Linked DNA regions of Macaca mulatta. The protein of the gene in region 4 purifies or fractionates together with the protein of the main gene of each other region. This does not show direct contact. Links are inferred from orthologs where the notes say so. Each region holds a gene or a part of one and is shown on either strand. Other genes may lie near its edges.

The links.
Region 1: the proteins of PTPN6 (region 4) and RPL35A purify together in Homo sapiens (affinity purification with mass spectrometry; 3 studies listed by BioGRID and IntAct, with this or other methods). This does not show direct contact. The link is inferred for Macaca mulatta from reciprocal best matches to the Homo sapiens genes PTPN6 and RPL35A.
Region 2: the proteins of PTPN6 (region 4) and CD72 purify together in Homo sapiens (affinity purification with western blotting; 3 studies listed by BioGRID). This does not show direct contact. The link is inferred for Macaca mulatta from reciprocal best matches to the Homo sapiens genes PTPN6 and CD72.
Region 3: the proteins of PTPN6 (region 4) and CD22 purify together in Homo sapiens (affinity purification with western blotting; 5 studies listed by BioGRID and IntAct, with this or other methods). This does not show direct contact. The link is inferred for Macaca mulatta from reciprocal best matches to the Homo sapiens genes PTPN6 and CD22.

Annotation. Positions count from the first base shown.
Region 1 is NC_133407.1:982,218-986,871, forward strand, and holds the start of RPL35A (60S ribosomal protein L35a), read right to left. Parts: upstream 2,967-4,654; 5' UTR 2,947-2,966; coding exon 2,936-2,946; intron 2,750-2,935; coding exon 2,597-2,749; intron 545-2,596; coding exon 400-544; intron 1-399.
Region 2 is NC_133420.1:64,085,303-64,088,921, forward strand, and holds the end of CD72 (B-cell differentiation antigen CD72), read left to right. Parts: coding exon 1-41; intron 42-980; coding exon 981-1,093; intron 1,094-2,106; coding exon 2,107-2,239; 3' UTR 2,240-2,261; intron 2,262-2,543; exon of another isoform or gene 2,544-2,639; 3' UTR 2,640-2,871; downstream 2,872-3,619. Other genes in the region: TESK1 (dual specificity testis-specific protein kinase 1), read right to left, coding at 3,114-3,619. UniProt on the Homo sapiens protein: Co-receptor of B cell receptor (BCR) that plays both positive and negative roles on B-cell functions. Recognizes the Sm/ribonucleoprotein (RNP) self-antigen ligand, and coligation of CD72 and BCR inhibits BCR signaling.
Region 3 is NC_133424.1:46,607,110-46,611,980, reverse strand, and holds the start of CD22 (B-cell receptor CD22), read right to left. Parts: upstream 2,997-4,871; 5' UTR 2,732-2,996; coding exon 2,722-2,731; intron 545-2,721; coding exon 458-544; intron 12-457; exon of another isoform or gene 1-11. UniProt on the Homo sapiens protein: Most highly expressed siglec (sialic acid-binding immunoglobulin-like lectin) on B-cells that plays a role in various aspects of B-cell biology including differentiation, antigen presentation, and trafficking to bone marrow.
Region 4 is NC_133416.1:7,915,889-7,920,527, forward strand, and holds the start of PTPN6 (tyrosine-protein phosphatase non-receptor type 6), read left to right. Parts: upstream 1-1,362; 5' UTR 1,363-1,743; coding exon of another isoform or gene 1,744-1,757; intron 1,758-2,022; 5' UTR 2,023-2,123; coding exon 2,124-2,224; intron 2,225-4,639. Other genes in the region: C11H12orf57 (protein C10), read left to right, coding at 791-942. UniProt on the Homo sapiens protein: Tyrosine phosphatase enzyme that plays important roles in controlling immune signaling pathways and fundamental physiological processes such as hematopoiesis.

The DNA.
Region 1 (4,654 bases), on a different chromosome or scaffold from region 4:
ATCATGCCACTGCACTCCAACCTGCGTGACAAAGTGAGACCTTGTCTCAAAAACAACAGAACAAAACAAAAACCCCAAAAACTAGCTGGGTGTGGTGGCACATGCCTATGGTCCCAGCTACTTGGGGGGCTGTGGGAGGATTGCTTGAGCCCAGGAGGTCGAGGCTGCAGTGAGCTGTGATTATGCCACTGCACCCCAGCCTGGGTGACAACAACAAAAAACACCAAACACCTATTATTTCAATTACTATTTCTCCCCAGCATTCTGCAATACACAAATTTTGCAGCATAATTTACTGGTGTCAATTTCACAATCACACAAGTCCTCAGAAGTCAAAATGCAACACCTTGACCTCAGTCTGATTCATCAGATTTCCGTTTTGCTAAAAACCATACTCACCACTCGGATTCTGTGTCCAATGGCCTTAGCAGGAAGATTGCTTCGGAATTTGGCACGAACCATGCCACTGTTTCCATGGGCCCGAGTTACCTTTCCCCAGATGACTCTGGTTTTATTTGGTTTGCCGCCTGGAGTCACTGTGTTGCTGATTTTAAAAAGGGAAAGAAGAGGAATACAGGCCAATATAGTTGGATACAAATTCAAGGTGATCTCTAGACGAGTGGCTCAACCCTGGTTACCCACTTCATCACCTGAGAAACTTTAAATGCCTGGAACACCATTCATTCAACAGATACTTATCGAGTACCTACTGTATGCCAGGCCCTTCTGTAAAACACAGCAGCTATAAAATAAAAATCCCTTTCAAAACCGATAACCAAGTATAAGGAAATACATACGTCAGATAACAGAGGCAATACTGAAAAAACAGCAAAAGGACAGGTGTGACGATGTTTGTGTGTACAGAAAGGAGGAATTACCTGCCATTTTAAATAGCCAAGGAAGGTCTCACTGAGGTGACAATGGAACAAAGACTGGAAAGGAGGGGGAGAAGCGCCAGGAAGTGATCAGGGGATGACTAGCGCAGGCACTGGGGCCAAGCAAGGTGTGTTCTGACCGGAGGAAAGACTGAAGACACCAAGGGGTTAATCCCTGCTGAGATAAGAGAATTATGGAGCCCTTAATGACGGGCTTTTACTGAATGAGAGAAACCACTGAGTTCCAGCAATGTACAAAGGATGCGACTTTATATATTTTTCCTTTAAAGACCACAGGGTTGTCTTGTCACCCAGGCTGCAGTATAGTGGCCGAATCATAGCTCACTGCAGCCTCTACCTACTGGCATCAAGCAATCCTCCCACCTGGGCCTCTCAAATGCTGGGACTACAGGTGTGAGTCACTGAACCTGACTTAAAATTTATTCTTGGCTGTAGAAGAAAAGGTGGGGCAATGATTAAAACCCTTTCCCAGAGATTTTAATTGGCTTGGAGTGGGTGAAGAAAATAGGATTTGCTCTTGTTGTCCAGACTAAAGTGCAATGTCAGGATAGCTCACGCCTGTAATCCCAGCACTTTGGGAGGCTAAAGTGGCTGGATCACAAGGTCAGGAGTTCAAGAACAGTCTGGCCAAAATGGTGAAACCCTGTTTCTACTAAATATACAAAAATTAGCCGGGTGTGGTGGCAGGCGCCTGTAATCCCAGCTACTCGGGAGGCTGAGGCAGGAGAATCGCGTGAACCTGGGAGGTGGAGGTTGTGGTGAGCCGATAAGCTGATATCATGCTACTGCACCTGGGTGACACAGCGAGACTCCGTCTCAAAAAACAAAACAAACAAAAAAAACGTATTTTTAAGGCATTAACAAAATGCATTAAGCGCCAAGTGTTCTAAAAATCCTTAAGTTCTGGCAAAAGGAGCCGAGAAAAAAAATTAGAAGCCTTAAAAGGATCACAATATAAGGAATTAGCTCCTTTATTGTTTTCAAGTGCAAAAGGTACCTAAATCCAACACCACCCTCAGAAGTAACGTCCTTCTAAGACTCCTCATTAAGTTCCTTAATGACACAAAATAGAAGCCATAGCAATACCAATCCAGCCTGGCCAACATGGGGAAACCCATTCTCTAGTAAAAATACAAAAATTAGCTGGGCATGGTGGTGCACCCCTGTAAGCCCAGCTACCCAGGAGGCTGAGGCAGGAGAATCGCTTGAGCCAGGAGGCAGAGGATGCAGTGAGCTGGGATCGCGCCACTGAGCTCCAACCTGGGCAACAGAGCGAGACTCTTGTCACAAAAACAAAAAAAAAAACAATACCAAGTACTTCAGCCAAATATTTTATTATCTCAATAGGATAATGAGGCCAGGCACAGTGGCTCAAGCCTGTAATCTCAGCACTTTGGGAGACCGAGGTGGGTGATCACCTGAAGTCAGGAGTTTGAGACCAGCCTGGCCAACATGGCAATACACTGTCTCTAATAATAACACAAAAAGTAGCCGGGCGTGGTGGCGGGCGCCTGTAATCCCAGCTACTCGGGAGGCTGAGGCAGGAGAATCGCTTGAACCCGGGAGGCGGAAGTTTCGGTGAGGGAGACCAAGTCACTGCACTCCAGCCTGGGCAACAGAGCAAGACTCCGTTATATAAAAAAGAAAATGAGGCAGATCCCAAAATAAAAACCCAAAACCTACCAGTGTCATAAACTTACTTCTTTGCTTTGTATACATAAGCGCATCTCTTGCCCAAATAGAATTCTGTTTCATCTCGGGCATAAACACCTTCAATTTTAAGAAGAGCTGTGTGCTCCCTTTGGTTCCGGAGACCCCGCTTATAGCCGGCAAAAATGGCCTTGGACCACAGCCTAAGACACAAAAGATACACAACATGAAACATAAGCTTCAGAAAACCAATTTGACTTGTAATAACCCCCACCCAAAAGTTACTCAGAGCAAACATCTTAAGTTTTTTCTTGCTAATTTTAAGCTCGCATTTAAACATTCACGTCTAACACACACACACAAAGAGCAACCATATTTAAAACGCGTACCTTCCAGACATAGTTCCTTTTAGAAGTCCCGCTCCCAGCAGGCCTTAAAACAAACAAAAAGATTCAGTTTGAAACCAAGCCACGCAAGTTTCTCACCTCGTCCCCTCTCGTTTAAGCCCCGAAGGCAAATTCCTTTTGGATCGGAGTTTCTCGTAGGAGTAAGGGGACAATTATGCCAGAACATCATCCACATGAAACGCAGGCTCCGGCGAGACAATCAAACCTCAGAGAACAGCTGGTATCTAAGCAAACTTCAGAATGAAGACAAAACTAAGGGACAAGAGCCACAAAAATAACTCTCAGAAAAGCCTGAGAAAATGCATGCCATTGTCAGGAGGCAACACTCAGGAAAAGGAATGAAGACTTCATCAGAGACTCACACCTAAGACTTATGCATCGGCTGGGTCTCGGAGAAAAGCTGAGGGAAGAGACTGGTCAGACAAGCAAAGGGAGGTTTGGACTGGGAGGAAACGGAAAAACCCTGGCCGAAAGGAAGCACTGCCTCATGGACAACTGCAGACGAACAAAATCATCATTTCACTCCGCTCAGGCCCAGGAATTTAACTCGGATAACCCGGGCAGCCGTTCTCCGGGCGTCAGAGGACCAAGCACCATCGGCCCAACATCTGCTCCATCCTGCTCTCCCTCTTCTTGAAACCCATAGAAATCAATGGCTGGCGGAGACTCCGATACACACCGGCGACTCGCCGCGGTATAGGAACAAACCTGCTCCGGTTATTTGCCCCCAAATTTCAGCAGCAGGCGCTTCACTCACCTCCACAGGAGCCAAGATGGCGGGAAGAGAAAGACGAGGCCCCGCCGCGTGGCCTTGTGGGATTAAACATCTCTCGACCCCGCCCTCAATTTAGGCATCTTCTCCAAACGCCAGAAAAGCAATCCTCGGAAATCGCCTTCGCGCTGAAATAAGCCACATTCAAGAGCACTCTTACAATTATTTTCCTAAGTCCTTTCATCTTGGTAGGCTGCAAAATGTATTACTTGGGAACAGGGGAAGGCAAAATGGTAGCCAGCTAAATCCGCCAAAGCTGTGCGTTGCCATAGAAACAGCTTAGTTTACTTCCCGCGTCACCGGACGCTGTTGATGGAAAGGCGCACCGTGAGTGGAGGACGTTCCCACTGCCTGAAGAATGATTGTAAGATTGATTTGCCAACAGGCGGGTGCATATCCCTCGATCCACAAGCAATAGACAGAACGGAAATTCTAGGTTAGGATTCTGGGATCCTAACCTAGCATGAAAGAGAAAGGCCGGGAGCACGAAGGCAGCAGGACCTCTTCCTTCTCTTTTTTATTTTTCTATGCTTTTTTTCTGCCCTCTACTTATCTATCTCTTTCAAGAAACGAGACTGGACACGGTGGCTCACGCCTGTAAGCCCAGTTCTTTGGGAAACCGAGGCGGGAGGATCGCTTGAGGCTAGGAGTTCGAGACCAGCCTGGGCAATATAGTGAGACCACCTTCCCCCATCTCTACAAAAGAAAAAAAAAAAAAAGAATGAAATGACTTAAGTTCTTGCCTCCATTCTTCTTTTTGGATCCGAGGTATGAGAGGGACTGCCTGCAGGAGGCTTTATCGCCCTTTTAGGAGAACTCGTTTAGCTGCCCCGTGTCCGTGTCTAATAGGTCCTCCGTAGATACTTGTAGAGGTGGATTAATGGACGCCAGAGATTCACATTTCCGAATTATTGCATATTTATTTGGGT
Region 2 (3,619 bases), on a different chromosome or scaffold from region 4:
CTTCCAAGCTGGCCACATTCAGTGAAATTTATCAACAATCAGTAAGCATATCCTTACTCACAGACTATGGTGGGTACTATTCGGTAAAGGGACATATGTCATCAAGTCAGGAATGGCAGTGCATACATGGCTGGGGTGGCCATTCCTTTTCCGTGGAAGAAACTGAGAATCACAATACTCTTGAACTCTGAGCTTGGAAACAACCTCTGCATCTTCTCAGCACAGTGGTCCAGGCAGCCCCTACTAACTGATTAGAGTTGGCATGAGAGTAGAAACTTAGGAACCATATCTACATTTTTTTTTTTTTTTTTTTTTTGAGGCAGAGTCTCACTCTGTCACCCAGGCTGGAGTGCAATTCCATAATCTCAGCTCACTGCAACCTCTGCCTCCTGGGTTCAAGCAATTCTCCTGTCTCAGTTTCCCGAGTAGCTGGGACTACAGTCACACACCACCACGCCCAGCTAATTTTTGTATTTTTAATAGAGACGGGGTTTCACCATATTGGTCAGGCTGGTCTCTAATTCCTGACCTCAGGTGATTCACCTGCCTCAGCCTCCCAAAGTGCGGGATTACAGGTGTGAGCCACCGCACCTGGCCTCTACTTTAATCTGTATCTCATCTCAGCTTGCTAGTCAGCTCCCTGGGCTGCTTGACAGGTTCCTTGACTCTTGTGGCCTCTCAGGCAGAGAGGTTCCACACCTGGTGGGCTGGATTGTAGGGATTAGTTCCTTGGGGCCAGAACAGCACACACAATGACTCCCCTCCAAAGGCTGGCAGAGATTCTTACTCAGCTGGAAAGCAAATTGAGCACTGAGCCTGCATCTGCAGGGTGGCACTTGGTGGATTCAGGGACCAGTTACCAAAGAGCTGTCATATATACAGCCCCCTTGCCGAAGCTGAGGCCTCCCTAGGGCATGCATTTTCTTCCGTATTTCTCATCACTCTCCACATATCTCTGGTCTCTCTGAATCTCTCCTTAGTATTACTTCATCTTAAATTCGCTGTTGCCAAATGGTGGTTCAGGGAATTCATACTGGACTGGCCTCAGCTCTAACAAGGATGAGAAGTTTACTGATGATACACAATACATTAGGTAAGTTTGTTAGGACTCTGGGTATTTTCAACTCCATAATCCCCTCCATAAAGACATGGTAATCAGATTTCCTCTCCACCTGCTTCCCTCAGAACTCTCCCATAAATCAACACTGTAATTGCCTATTTGTCTGTTTCCTCTATTTGATTAATAACTTCTTAAGGCAATCTTATTCTCCATTATATTTCCACCTAGAAGTCCCTGGCACATGCTTTTTTGTTTCAGTAACTACTAGGTTGGGACCTATGCTAGCTTTTAGGGGGAGACATTAAGGATTTAGTTAAGGCTCCACAGCTGATGACAGCAGCATTTCTCCATCCTTTGACAAGGCCACCCAAACTGAGGTTGTACTTTCTCAGTAGCAGCCACTCGGGGCACTAGAGCTACCTCAGTGAAGTAAGCAAGGGAGCAGTGGGGGTACCATCAAAGCTCCACTTCACTGTGATCAAGGGAGCAGTGGGGTACCATTGAGGATCAACCCTAGGGACCCTGAAACAGGGTGGCAGCCTCCTTATGTTCCCTAATTGGCCTTCCCATCTTTTTTTTGAGACAGAGTCTCGCTCTGTTGCCTAGGCCGGAGTACAGTTGTGCAATCTTGGCTCACTGCAAGCTCCGCCTCCTGGGTTCACACCATTCCCCTGCCTCAGCCTCCCCATGCCTGGCTAATTTTTTGTATTTTTAGTAGAGATGGGGTTTCACCGTGTTAGCCAGGATGGTCTCGATCTCCTGACCTCGTGACCCGCCCGCCTCAGCCTCCCACAAGTGCTGGGATTACAGGCATGAGCCACCGCGCCTGGCCTGCATCTTTATGACCTGGAGTGATTTTTCCCTCTGCTGGTTCTAAAGCCTGTTTTAGTTGAACTCCAGACATCTGTCCTGAACCATGCCCAGATGTGGCCTTAGGCAGGCAAAGCGACTTAGGACTTAGGTTTTATGCAGGGAAAGGGGAGAGAAGGGAGGGTAGGATAGGAGGGGTCCAGAGCTTATCCCAGCTCTACCTTATTACTTTTTAGGGTTTATGTTCAAAGTTCAAAATGTACCAAGGTACAAAAAGGTTGGTCACGGTATTGGACAATGGAGAAAGAGGCATGTGGAAGTCCTCTTCCCTTCATCTGTGAGATGACAGCTTTCAGATTTCCAGATTAGGACAACCCTTTACACTGAACTGGTAAGAGTGAGGGATGGGGCCAAGGCATGGGGAGTCCAGGGGCAGAGGGACTCAGAGCAGGGACCCAGGGGCCCGAGGGAAAACTTGTACCTGGGATGAAAGTTCCTCCACAGCCTCCAGTTGCTTGGTCTGCTTATGTTAGGATGGGGTGGGCAGGGAGAGGGACAGGAAAGGCCTAGAACTTATGGGAGGCTGGTGATGTGGCTGTCGGGGTGACGGGGTGAGCGGGATGAGGGTTCAGTTAAGTCAACCATGGAGCTCACCGATACTTTACTCTTCCAGACACTCATGCCAACAAGAAACTGTGCCCCTCCTTCCTAACCTGAGGCCTGCGGGTCCTCAGACCATGTCCTCCCTGTGTTCCCTCATTCTGGGCAGTGTCCAGCCACCAGCTGATCCACACCTGACACTTCCAGCCAGCCTGCTGCCTGCTCCCTCTTCCTGAAACTGGACTGTTCTTGGGAAAAGGGTGAAGCCACCTCTAGAAGGGACTTTGGCCTCCCTGCAAGAACTTCCCATGGTAGAATGGGGCGGGGGAGGAGGGCGCATGGGTTGAGTGGATAGGGGCGGCCCGGAGCCAGCCAGGCAGTTTTATTGAAATCTTTTTAAATAATTGCACGTGTTAGTCTCATGTGTCAGCAATGCTGTGTCTGGTTCAGTGATCCCCATGGGAACACGAGCCGGGGATTGAACTGGAAGTGCTCTGTCCCTCGAGTCCATGCTGGGGCTCCCCTACACAGGGAGAAGAGCCGGTCAGCCCATCTGGAACTGGCACTGTCCAGCAAGTGTGCTCTGTTCTTACAGGGTGTCCTGAAGGCCAAAGTTGGAGGCCTGAGACCACAGGCTCCAATGCTAAGAGCGTGCCCCGGGCAGTTGCAGGCTGGGTGTGGGTGGCTTGGCATGGTGCCCTCGGTGGCAGAGGAGACTGCCCGCCTCACAGTTCAGGTTGCGGTAGCGGGCAACAGCTGGTGTGGGGCGGGGGCACATGGACAGGAAGCCAAAGCTGAAGGGGCCGAGGCAGCAGCCAGGACAGGGCAGCCCCTCATCAGGCTCCCGGGGAGCTGAAGGGGGTGGCGAGGGTTCTGTCCGCTCCAGGGCTGCCGCCCGGGGCAGGCTATGCTGGGCCCGGTTCCAGGGCTCCCCAGCCCAGCCTTGTGGGGAGTTCACCACCACAGCTGGGGGATTGTTATTGAGGACAGGTCCTGATCTAGGGGACCAGGGTTGGGTGGCCGAGGAACAGGTGCTGATGAAGTTGTCTGTGGCCACAGCCAGAGGCAGCTGGGGCGCTGGTCCTGGAGGTTCCGGCTCAGGGCTGCTGCCCTCACACTCCATCTTCTCTTCAGCCGAGGGGCCCACGG
Region 3 (4,871 bases), on a different chromosome or scaffold from region 4:
AGAAAGCATTACTGAGGGGGCACGAGAGCCTTCTTTTACAAATTATTCTTTATTTTAAAATTTGTTTAATTTTTAATTCTTTTTAGAGATAGGGGTCTTGCTAAGTTGCCCAAGCTGGCTTCAAACTCTTGACCTCAAGTGATCCTCCCACCTCAGCCTCACAAAGTGCTGACATTTCAGGCATGAGCCATTGCACCCAGCTGAGAGCTTTCCAAAAACTAAAGAATTCTCTCTGAAGATAGTGGGAGAAATACAGAGATACACAAAGACAGCAGGATGCAATGAGAGAAGCGTATGTATATATGGGAAACATATATATTTGTATGTACATCTATCTATACACACTGCCACCCCCACCCTACCCTATGTTGACGCCTCTCTGCCCGGGTCTTTTCTCCTCCTCCAGTGCCCACTGACATCCCAGAACCCCAGTACTGGCCCAGGCCACAGTCCTTACCCAGGAGCAGGAGCCAGGGGCCGAGGAGATGCATGGTGTCGTGTCTGGGTGGAAGCCTGAGCAGGGGAGAGTTTGTCTTTGAGCCATCTGGCCACTGACTTCTTCCACATGGCTTTTCTTGCTCACCCACTGAGCTCCAACCCTTCCCCTAGATCTAGGAGGACTGGGTCTGGTTGCATTATGGGGATGTGGCATTTGAGATGCTCACAGAGTTCTTTCTTTTTTTTTGAGACAGAGTCTTGCTCTGTCTCCCAGGCTAGAGTGCAGTGGTGCAATCTCCGCTCACTGCAACCTCTGCTTCCCAGGCTCAAGCACTTCTCTGGCCTCAGCCCCCCAAGTAGCTGGGTAAAGGCAGGTGTCACCACGCCTGGCTGATTTTTGTATTTTCAGTAGAGATGGGGCTTCACGATGTTGGCCAGGCTGATCTTGAACTCCTGACCTCAGGTGATCTGCCAGCCTCGGCCTCCCAAAGTGCTGGGACTACAGGGGTGAGCCACCACTCCTGGCCGGGAGTTTTTTCTAGGTATGCTGTGCCTCTCCTTCAAACTGAGAGCCCTGTGAGGGCAGCTTCTCTCTCTTCCCAGAACTCCTTCCTTTCTTCCTTCCTTCCTCCCTTGCTTCCTTTTTTCCATCCATCCATTCATCCATCTCTAATTTTACAAACTTCCTGCCTGGCTTGCAGACTTTGAGTGGCACCAGACCACTGAGTGCCTTGAATGCCAGGCCCCGGATAACATGGAGCTCTCTCTGGTGCTACTCATCACGGATTATACTCAGGGACAGACATGGTCAAAACTTGGTTTGAAAGACCAGGCAAAAAGGAATTTTAAAACCAGTAACAAAGTATGGGTGAGCCAGGTGCAGTGGCTAACACCTGTAATCCCAATACTTTGGGATGCCAAGGCAGGCAGATCACTTGAGGTCAGGAGTTCAAGACCAGCCTGGCCAACATGGCAAAACCCCATCTTACTAAAAATGCAAAAAATTAGCTGGGCGTGGTGGCGCACACCTGTAATCCCAGCTACTCGGGAGGCTGAGGCAGGATAGTTGTTTGAACCCGGGAAGTGGAGGTTGCAGTGAGCCAAGATCGTGCTACTGCACTCCAGCCTGGGTGACAGACCCAGATCCTGTCTCAGAACAAAAACAAAACAAAAAATAAAGTGTGACACCAGGAGAGCATTTTGAGGGGTCTGGAAGGTCTCTGGAGAATGCCCCACAGGCCAGGTAGGAAACGTAAATCAACCAAGTGGGGACAAAGGTTGTACCTCCTCTAAAGGTGGTAGCTGCCTCAGTTCTAGTCAGTTATTGCCAGACAGAACCTGAGCTCAGCACTGTCTGATCTTCCACTGTAAGAGAAGTAAGAAGCTAAACTTCTAAGTGGAGTGACCTACTTAAAAAGAAAAATAGACCAAGGAGAAGTGGCCAATGTGGGAGGATTACTTGAGGTCAGGAGTTTGAGACCAGCCTGGCCAACATAACAAGACCACGTCTCTACAAAAAAAGTTTAAAAATTAGCCAGGCATGGTGGCGCACACCTGTGGTCTCAGTTAATTAGGAGGCTGAGGTGGGAGGATCAGTTGAGCCCAGGAGGTCAAGCCTGCAGTGAATGGTGATCTCCCCACTGCACTCCAGCCTGGGCAATAGGGCGAGACCCTGTCTTGAAAAAATAAAAAATAGGCTGGGTGCGGTGGCTCACGCCTGTAATCCCAGCACTTTGGGAGGCCGAGACAGGCAGATCACGAGGTCAGGTGATCCTGACCATCCTGACTAACACGGTGAAACCCCGTCTCTACTAAAAATACAAAAATTAGCCGGGCGAGGTGGCGGGCGCCTGTAGTCCCAGCTACATGGGAGGCTGAGCCAGGAGAATGGCGTAAACCTGGGAGGTGGAGCTTTCAGTGAGTGGAGATCGCGCCACTGCACTCCAGCCTGGGCGACAGAGCGAGACTCCGTCTCAAAAAACAAAAAAAAAAAAAGAAAAGAAAAAAGAAAAAATACACAAACTAAAAATATGCAGAGCTGGTCAAACAAAACCTATCTGTGGGTTAGGTTCTGTAATTGCTGCCCGTCTTTCTCTCTTTCTCTGCAATGAGCTTATCCTCCACCATCCCTGACCTCTGCATAGAGTTATATTTACATAGAGTTAAATTTAAGTCCCAATTTACATGATCGTGGCCCTCCGTGCTGGCCCCCGGGGACCCCGAAGGATGTGACAGCAGAGTGTGTCTCCGGTCTCAGCACCAACCCAAGTCCCTCCCACTCACCTGCCAACATTTCCCACGCATCAGTGTTCCTCTCTCTCTCTGTGTTTATCTCCTCGGGCCACACGGCTCATGCCGAGGGCTGCCAGGTGTCAGTTCATGGGTGTGGGGAAAGCTAAGCTGCTTGTGGACAGCAGGAAGGGGGTCTCGCTTGACCTGAGCATGAATTTGGGGTGCAGGGTCTGAAGCTGAGGCAGATTCCCCAGGCAGAGTTGACATGAGCCCTGCAAGTGCTCATAATGTCACATGCAAAAAACGTCTTCAAGGTCACGTACACTTGAGAAAGGCAGGGTTAAAGAGTTAAGTAAAATTATTATTATTATTATTATTTTTTGAGACAGAGTCTCATTCTTCTGTCACCCAGGCTGGAGTGCAGTGGTGTGATCTCAGTTCACTGCATCCTCTGCCTCTAGGGTTCAAGTGATTCTCCTGCCTCAGCCTCCTGAGTAGCTGGGACTACAGGCGTGCGCCACCACACCTGTCTGATGTATTTGTTTGTTTGTCTGTTTGTTTTAGTAGAGATGGGGTTTCACCATGTTGGCCAGGCTGGTTTCAAGCTCCTGACCTCAGGTGATCCCCCCAACTTGACCTCCCAAAGTGCTGAGATTACAGGTGTGAGCCACCGCACCTGGCTTAAGTAAGATTCTTTACTGCAGGGCTTTAAAAACGTTTTAGGAAACTCTATCTACACCATTAATCTCTAGATATGGAGATTAGAGTATAGTATAATACATTGTCCATACTTCTTTGACCATGGGATCTATTTTACATGTTCCATAAAAAACTTTGCAGGGTTGCAGGACCAGTGTTCTCTGAAATCCCCTTAAGGTTACCTAAGGGGTAACAAGGGCTGTGGGACGGAATAGACTCTTTTCCTGCAGCCAACACTTGCCTCCAGGAGCCGGGCCATCGTCCCTCCTCTGCCGGCACCCTCCAGCCACAGCCTGCTCTGGGCCGGGCTGGAGCATCCCAGCATGAGTGGGATATGAGTGTCTCCAGAGCAGGGCTGTGTGCTGCCTCAAGGAGCTCCAGGAGTCTCTGGAGCACAGGAGTAGGGCCCCAGGCCCGGGAATTGGAAGGCTGAGGGTGGGGTGGAGGTTAGGGACAGCAGTTATTATGCACAGAGGCTCAGGACAGGGCCATGCTGTCCAGACCTCCTCAGTCCAGGCCTGTTGAGGGCCTTGCAGAACCTTGGGGCCGGCCTCCCTGGCTCCTTCTTCCCTCCTAGGCATCCAGTAACCTACCCTACTCTCAGAAGACTCAACAGGCCTGACAAGGAGGATGCTCAAGACAGGGGTCTGTCTACAACCTGTTGTAACACAGGTAAGAGAGAGCCAGGGAGGTCCCCACTGTATTCCCAGCTCTGGGAGGTATGCCTGGCCTATAACTGCTGTTCCATAATAATTTGCTTGTTGAATGCAAAATAAAAGCAAAATGGTTTTTACCTCTTTCCGCGTGTCTTCCCTCTTCAGGGACCCTGGCAGCATCTGAGAGCAAAAGGAGAAGTACAGTAAAGTCTCTGGTGACAGAGGTTTCCCCTCCATGGCCACACCCCCTGCTTCTCTATGGCTCTGAGGGGGACCAAGTAGCATCATGATCTGGGGAGTGGGGAAAAGAGACGAATGAGGGGGATGCGGGCTCGGAGTCAGATCGGAAGACTCGAGTATGTATGGGCAGTTCTTCCTTTCAGTGTGTGGGTTTGCAATATCAGATCAGTTTCAGAATGGGCTCCTTCACAACTCCCCCTCTACCCAGCTCTCAGGAAATGCGAATGACTCAAGTCAAGCAGGAGAACTGGAGCCCGCTGAAAAAGGCACAGGCCCACCTGAAAGTATTTGTAGTTTAGTGACACCATCCAGTTATTACCATTTCCACTCCTTTCATCAGAGGCATAAATGGTGGGGAATCTGACCACCTACACTGAAGCCCCCAAAGGTTGAGGGAGGAGCACATAGATATTGAGGAGGAAAAAGATATCTTGGCTGGGAGCAGTGGCTCATGCCTGGAATCCCAACACTTTGGGAGGCTGAGGTGATGGATCGCTTGAGGTCAGGAGTTCGAGACCAGCCTGGCCAACATGGTGAAATCCCGTACCTACTAAAAATACAAAAAATTAGCTGAGCGTGTTGGCAGGCGCCTGTAGTTCCAGCTAC
Region 4 (4,639 bases):
GTATACATACAGCTTAAGCACATAGCCTGAAGGTAATTTTATATAATAGTCTGAATAATCTTGTGCATAAGACAAAGTTTTGACTGCGTTTTGACTACAGTCCCCCCACCCCCACCCCCCACCATGAAGTCAGGTGTGGAATTTTCCATTTTTGGCTTCACACTGGCACTCAAATAATTTCAGATTTTGGGTTTTCTAATTAAGGATGGTCAACCTGTACTGTGAATCACATTATTATTACATTTTGTGATGAGGGAGCAAACGCTAATGGTGCAGACTTTTAGTAGTAGCAGAGCTGGACGTCAACGCTGTTGTGCCATCTTTTAGTGAGAGGTCTGCATTACAGCAGTGGCTGCAGTCTCTCCAGGGTGTTTCAGCTAATTTCTGTTTGGGGGTTGGTGGTTAAATTTTTGGTGAGATCCTGGTGTTCCCCAAAGGTGCTGACTGATTCAGCTCTGCTGCCCCGTAGCCTTCCTGCGTTCCAGCTACAGACCCGGGGTCTCGTGTTCATTCATGGGGTTCCAGTGACTAAACTGCTAAAAGGGTTCACCTGAGAGCAAGAAGCACACTGCCTTGGGATATTTTCATTCACTGCATCCCATCTAGTTGTGCCCAGTGTAGACCAAGAAGTTGATCCAAACCACATAGGACAGAGGCCTGCATGCGTCCTGTTTTGCAAACAGCTGCCCAGCCAGTGGGGAAGCAGTTCATGCTTAAACTACCACCCCCTCCAGCTGTCTTACGCAGCTGGTCCTTGGAAGAAGCGTTGACCCTCCACTCCCTCTTGCAGGTGTCCTTAAATTTGCTCGCTTGGTCAAGTCCTATGAAGCCCAGGATCCTGAGATCGCCAGCCTGTCAGGCAAGCTGAAGGCGCTGTTCCTGCCGCCCATGACCCTGCCACCCCACGGGCCTGCTGCTGGTGGCAGCGTGGCTGCCTCCTGAGAGTTGGCCCTCCCTGTGCCCCTGCCAGGGAAGAAAAGGCCTTGATGTTCCAGACGATAATAAACGTGCCTGTGACTTAGCCTTGGTGTCAGTCTTTTGCAGACTTGACAACCCCCATCTCACCTTCCCAGATTCCCTCTGCCTTTCCAGGCCCCATCCCCATGTACAGCTCCTTCCTATACTCCTGGCTGGGCCTAACCCTGCTCCAGTGAGGGCCTGAGGCTCCTCCCCTTCCCCCAGGGCAGGGTGAGAGGCTGGACTGGGCCCCTCGACGCTCTGGGTGGGTGGGCGGGCCTGCACTGGGGACACCTCCTTCTCTGAGGAATTGGGCTGTTAGGACTTTCCCTTAGGCCCTTTGGTTTCCACCTACTGAGAGCTTTCCCCCATTGGTTGCTCTTCCCTCAGCCAGGGTTACTTCCTGGTCTTTGCTCCTACCCAGCGTCCCGCTGCTCTGTCAGCTTGAGCTCCAGGTGGAGCTCCAGGTGGCTCCTCCTCTCCCGAGGGAAGGGGGCCCTGGCCCAGCGGGCAGGCCTGCTGTACTCCCGCACTGGGGCTGCAGGGAAGCTGGCCACTGTGGGCGGTCTCAGGCCAGCCCCGCCCCACCTGTCCTTTTCCCGGAGACTATTAGTCCAGGGTTTGTCCCTGCGGTGCCATTGGCCTGGCAGGCTGGATCGAGGAGGAAGTGGCTGATTTCTGAGTGGTTCTTCCTCTCCTGGCTTGGGCCGCTGTGCACAGCTGTGCCCCTGGCTCAGCCCCGCCCCCTGTGGCCCTCCGCTGTGACTTCCCCATCCCTACAGAGAGATGCTGTCCTGTGGGTAAGTCCCAGGCACCACCTGGGTCCTAGTCTCCTGTTAGTTTTGGAGGGAGGGAGGGCCTTGTTGATGCTCACTCCATCATGTATGTGAGCGTGAGTGCGATCTGCCGCTGCCCTGCCATGCGCCTGCTTCCGATCCCTATAAACCTTCCCCTTCCCGCAAAGTGTGAGGACCCCCAGGCTCACTCATGCCCCTCTGCCCCATCTTTAACATTTTCCGCCTGACAAGTGTGTATCTGTTCTCTCCATTGCATTTCTACTTCCAGCCTCTGGGCTCCTGCTTCTGTCTCCTGCTTAGGACCTGTCCCCCGTGGGTAGCTCACAACACCTGAAACAGCAATCAGAGGCCACCCGCGAAGGCCCTCCCATGCCCAGCCAACTTCCCCGCTCTTCCCAACATCTGACTTTGGTCCCATCTTCCTTCCGTTTCCTTTCACTTCCCGTTCCCCTGCATCATTCATTCAACAGGTACGTGTTGAGCGTCTGTTACACACCAGGTGTTGTTTAAGATGCTGGTAATACTGGAGTGAACAAGACAGACATGGTCCCTGCTCTCACGGAGCTTACATTCCAGTGGGAGGTTACAGACTGAACAAAAAACCCAATAAATTGGATCATTGCAGATTCTCAGAAGTGTTATGCAGTAAATGAAACAGCCTCGGCTGGGTGTAGTGGTTCACGCCTGTGATCCCAGCACATTGGGAGGCTGAGGCGAGACGATTGCTTGAGCCCAGGAGTTTGAGACCAGCCTGGCCATATAGTGAGACCCTGTCTCTACAAAAAATAAGAAATTAGCTGGGTATAGTGGAATGCGTCTGTGGTTCCAGCTATGAGCCTGGGAGGTCAAGGCTGCAGTGAGTAGTGATTGCACCACTGCACACCAGCCTGGGCGACAGAGCGAGACCTTGTCTCAAAGAAAAAAAAAGAAAATGAACCAGCTTCATGTGCTAGCAAGTGACTGGGTGTGCAGGTGACATTACTAGCTGGAGGGATCGGGGAGGCCTTCCCGAGGAGGTGACATTTGAGCTGAGACCTGCTTGAGGAGGAAGAGGAGCCAGCCATGTGATGTGGTGATCAAGGCCTGGGCAGAGGAGCTTCCCTGGGCAGAGGAGATGGTGAGCACAAAGCCCTAATGTGGGAACAAACAAAAAAAGGACCGTGTGTCCGTGGCAGAGGGCCCTCGTGGAGCAGAGGCAGGGCCACGGCAGGTTAGACCTTGTTGGATCTGGGATGTTGAAAGTGAAAACCTGGCCAGATGAGGTGGTGCATGCCTGTGATCCCAGCACTTTGGGAGGCCGAGATGGGAGGATCGCTTGAGCTCAGGAGTTTAAAACAAGCCTGGGCAACATAGAGAGATTCCATCTCTATTAAAAAAAAAAAAAAAAAATACTGGGTGTGATGGCCCAAGCATGTAGTAGTCCCAGCAGTTTGGGAGACTGAGGTGGGAGGATCACTTGAGCCTAGGAGTTCAAGACCACGCCGGGCAACATACAGAGAGACCCCATCTCAACTATGACTACTACTACTAAATAGCTGGACATAGTGGCACGCACCTGTGGTCTCAGTTACTTGGGAGGCTGAGGCAGGAGGATCACCTGAGCCAAGGAGGTTGAGACTGCAGTGAGTTGTGATTGTGACACTGCACTTTTCAGCCTGGGTGACAAAGCAAGATTCTGTGTCATAAAAAGAGAGAGAGAGAGAGAGGAAGGAAGGAAGGAAGAAAGGAAGGAGAGGAAGAAAGAAAAAAAAAGAGAAAGAAGGAAGAAAAGGAAAGCGAGAAAGAGGAAAGAAGAAAAAAAATAAAGAGAAAAAGAAAAAGTGACAACTGGCCAAAAGAAAGAAGAAAGAAAAAGTGACAACTGGCTGGGCGCGGTGGCTCACGCCTGTAATCCCAGCACTTTGGGAGGAGTTCGAGACCAGCCTGGCCGACATAGTGAAACCCTGTCTCAACTAAAGATACAAAAAAAGAAAAGAAAAGAAAAGAAAAAAAATTAGGCGGGCACAGTAGGGCGCACCTGTAGTCCCAGCTACTAGGGAGGCTGAGGCAGGAGAATTGCTCGAACCTGGGAGGCAGAGGTTGCAGTGAGCCAAGTCTGCGCCACTGTACTCCAGCCTGGGCGACAGGGAGAGACTCCATCCCCAAAAAAAATACAAAAAAGAAAAAGTGACAACCTGATTACAGAGTACTGGTGAGTTTGTGGGTGGGTGGCTCCCCAGCCCTGCTGATTCTTGCTTCTCACACTCACATCTGCTCCTGCCCCAGTGCACGTCTTGTCACTGTCGGCCCCACCGATGGGGTTCCAACTGAGTCTTCTGGTGCTTGATCCTTTCCGTGGTCATTTTCCTGCCAGGTAGCTTGGCCAGGCCTCCCCTGGTGCAGATTCCATCCTTGGTTTCTCAGCCTGGCCTTGAATGACCCTCTACAGCAGGGTCCCAACCTCTCAGAGCAGCTTTGCTTCAGCCACACAGCTTGCTCACAGCCAGGCACTGCACATGTGGACTCTGTGCGTGCCACCCCTTTGCCCTGATGCATGTTGCCTCTGGGGGAGCACTTCTTCCTCCACCTTCCATCATGGGCTGTGGTGGTGCCTATCCCATCTGACCCTGACGCTGTCTGCTGCGGTATGGTTGGTGGTGGAAAGGGCACCAGGCTCCGGCATCTGACATCCTTGTTTTACCCACCTTCCCACTCACTAGCTTGTGACCCTGGCCAATTACTTAACATCTCTGAGTGTTAGTTTCTATTTCTATAATTGGGTGAATAACACCTACTAAGTAGTGTTGGCCTGAGGATTAATACTATAATGTAAAAGCTGGCGGCACTGAAACCCTGCCACTTACCAGCTTTTCACATCAGTATTTGGGAAATATTCTTAAGCTCAT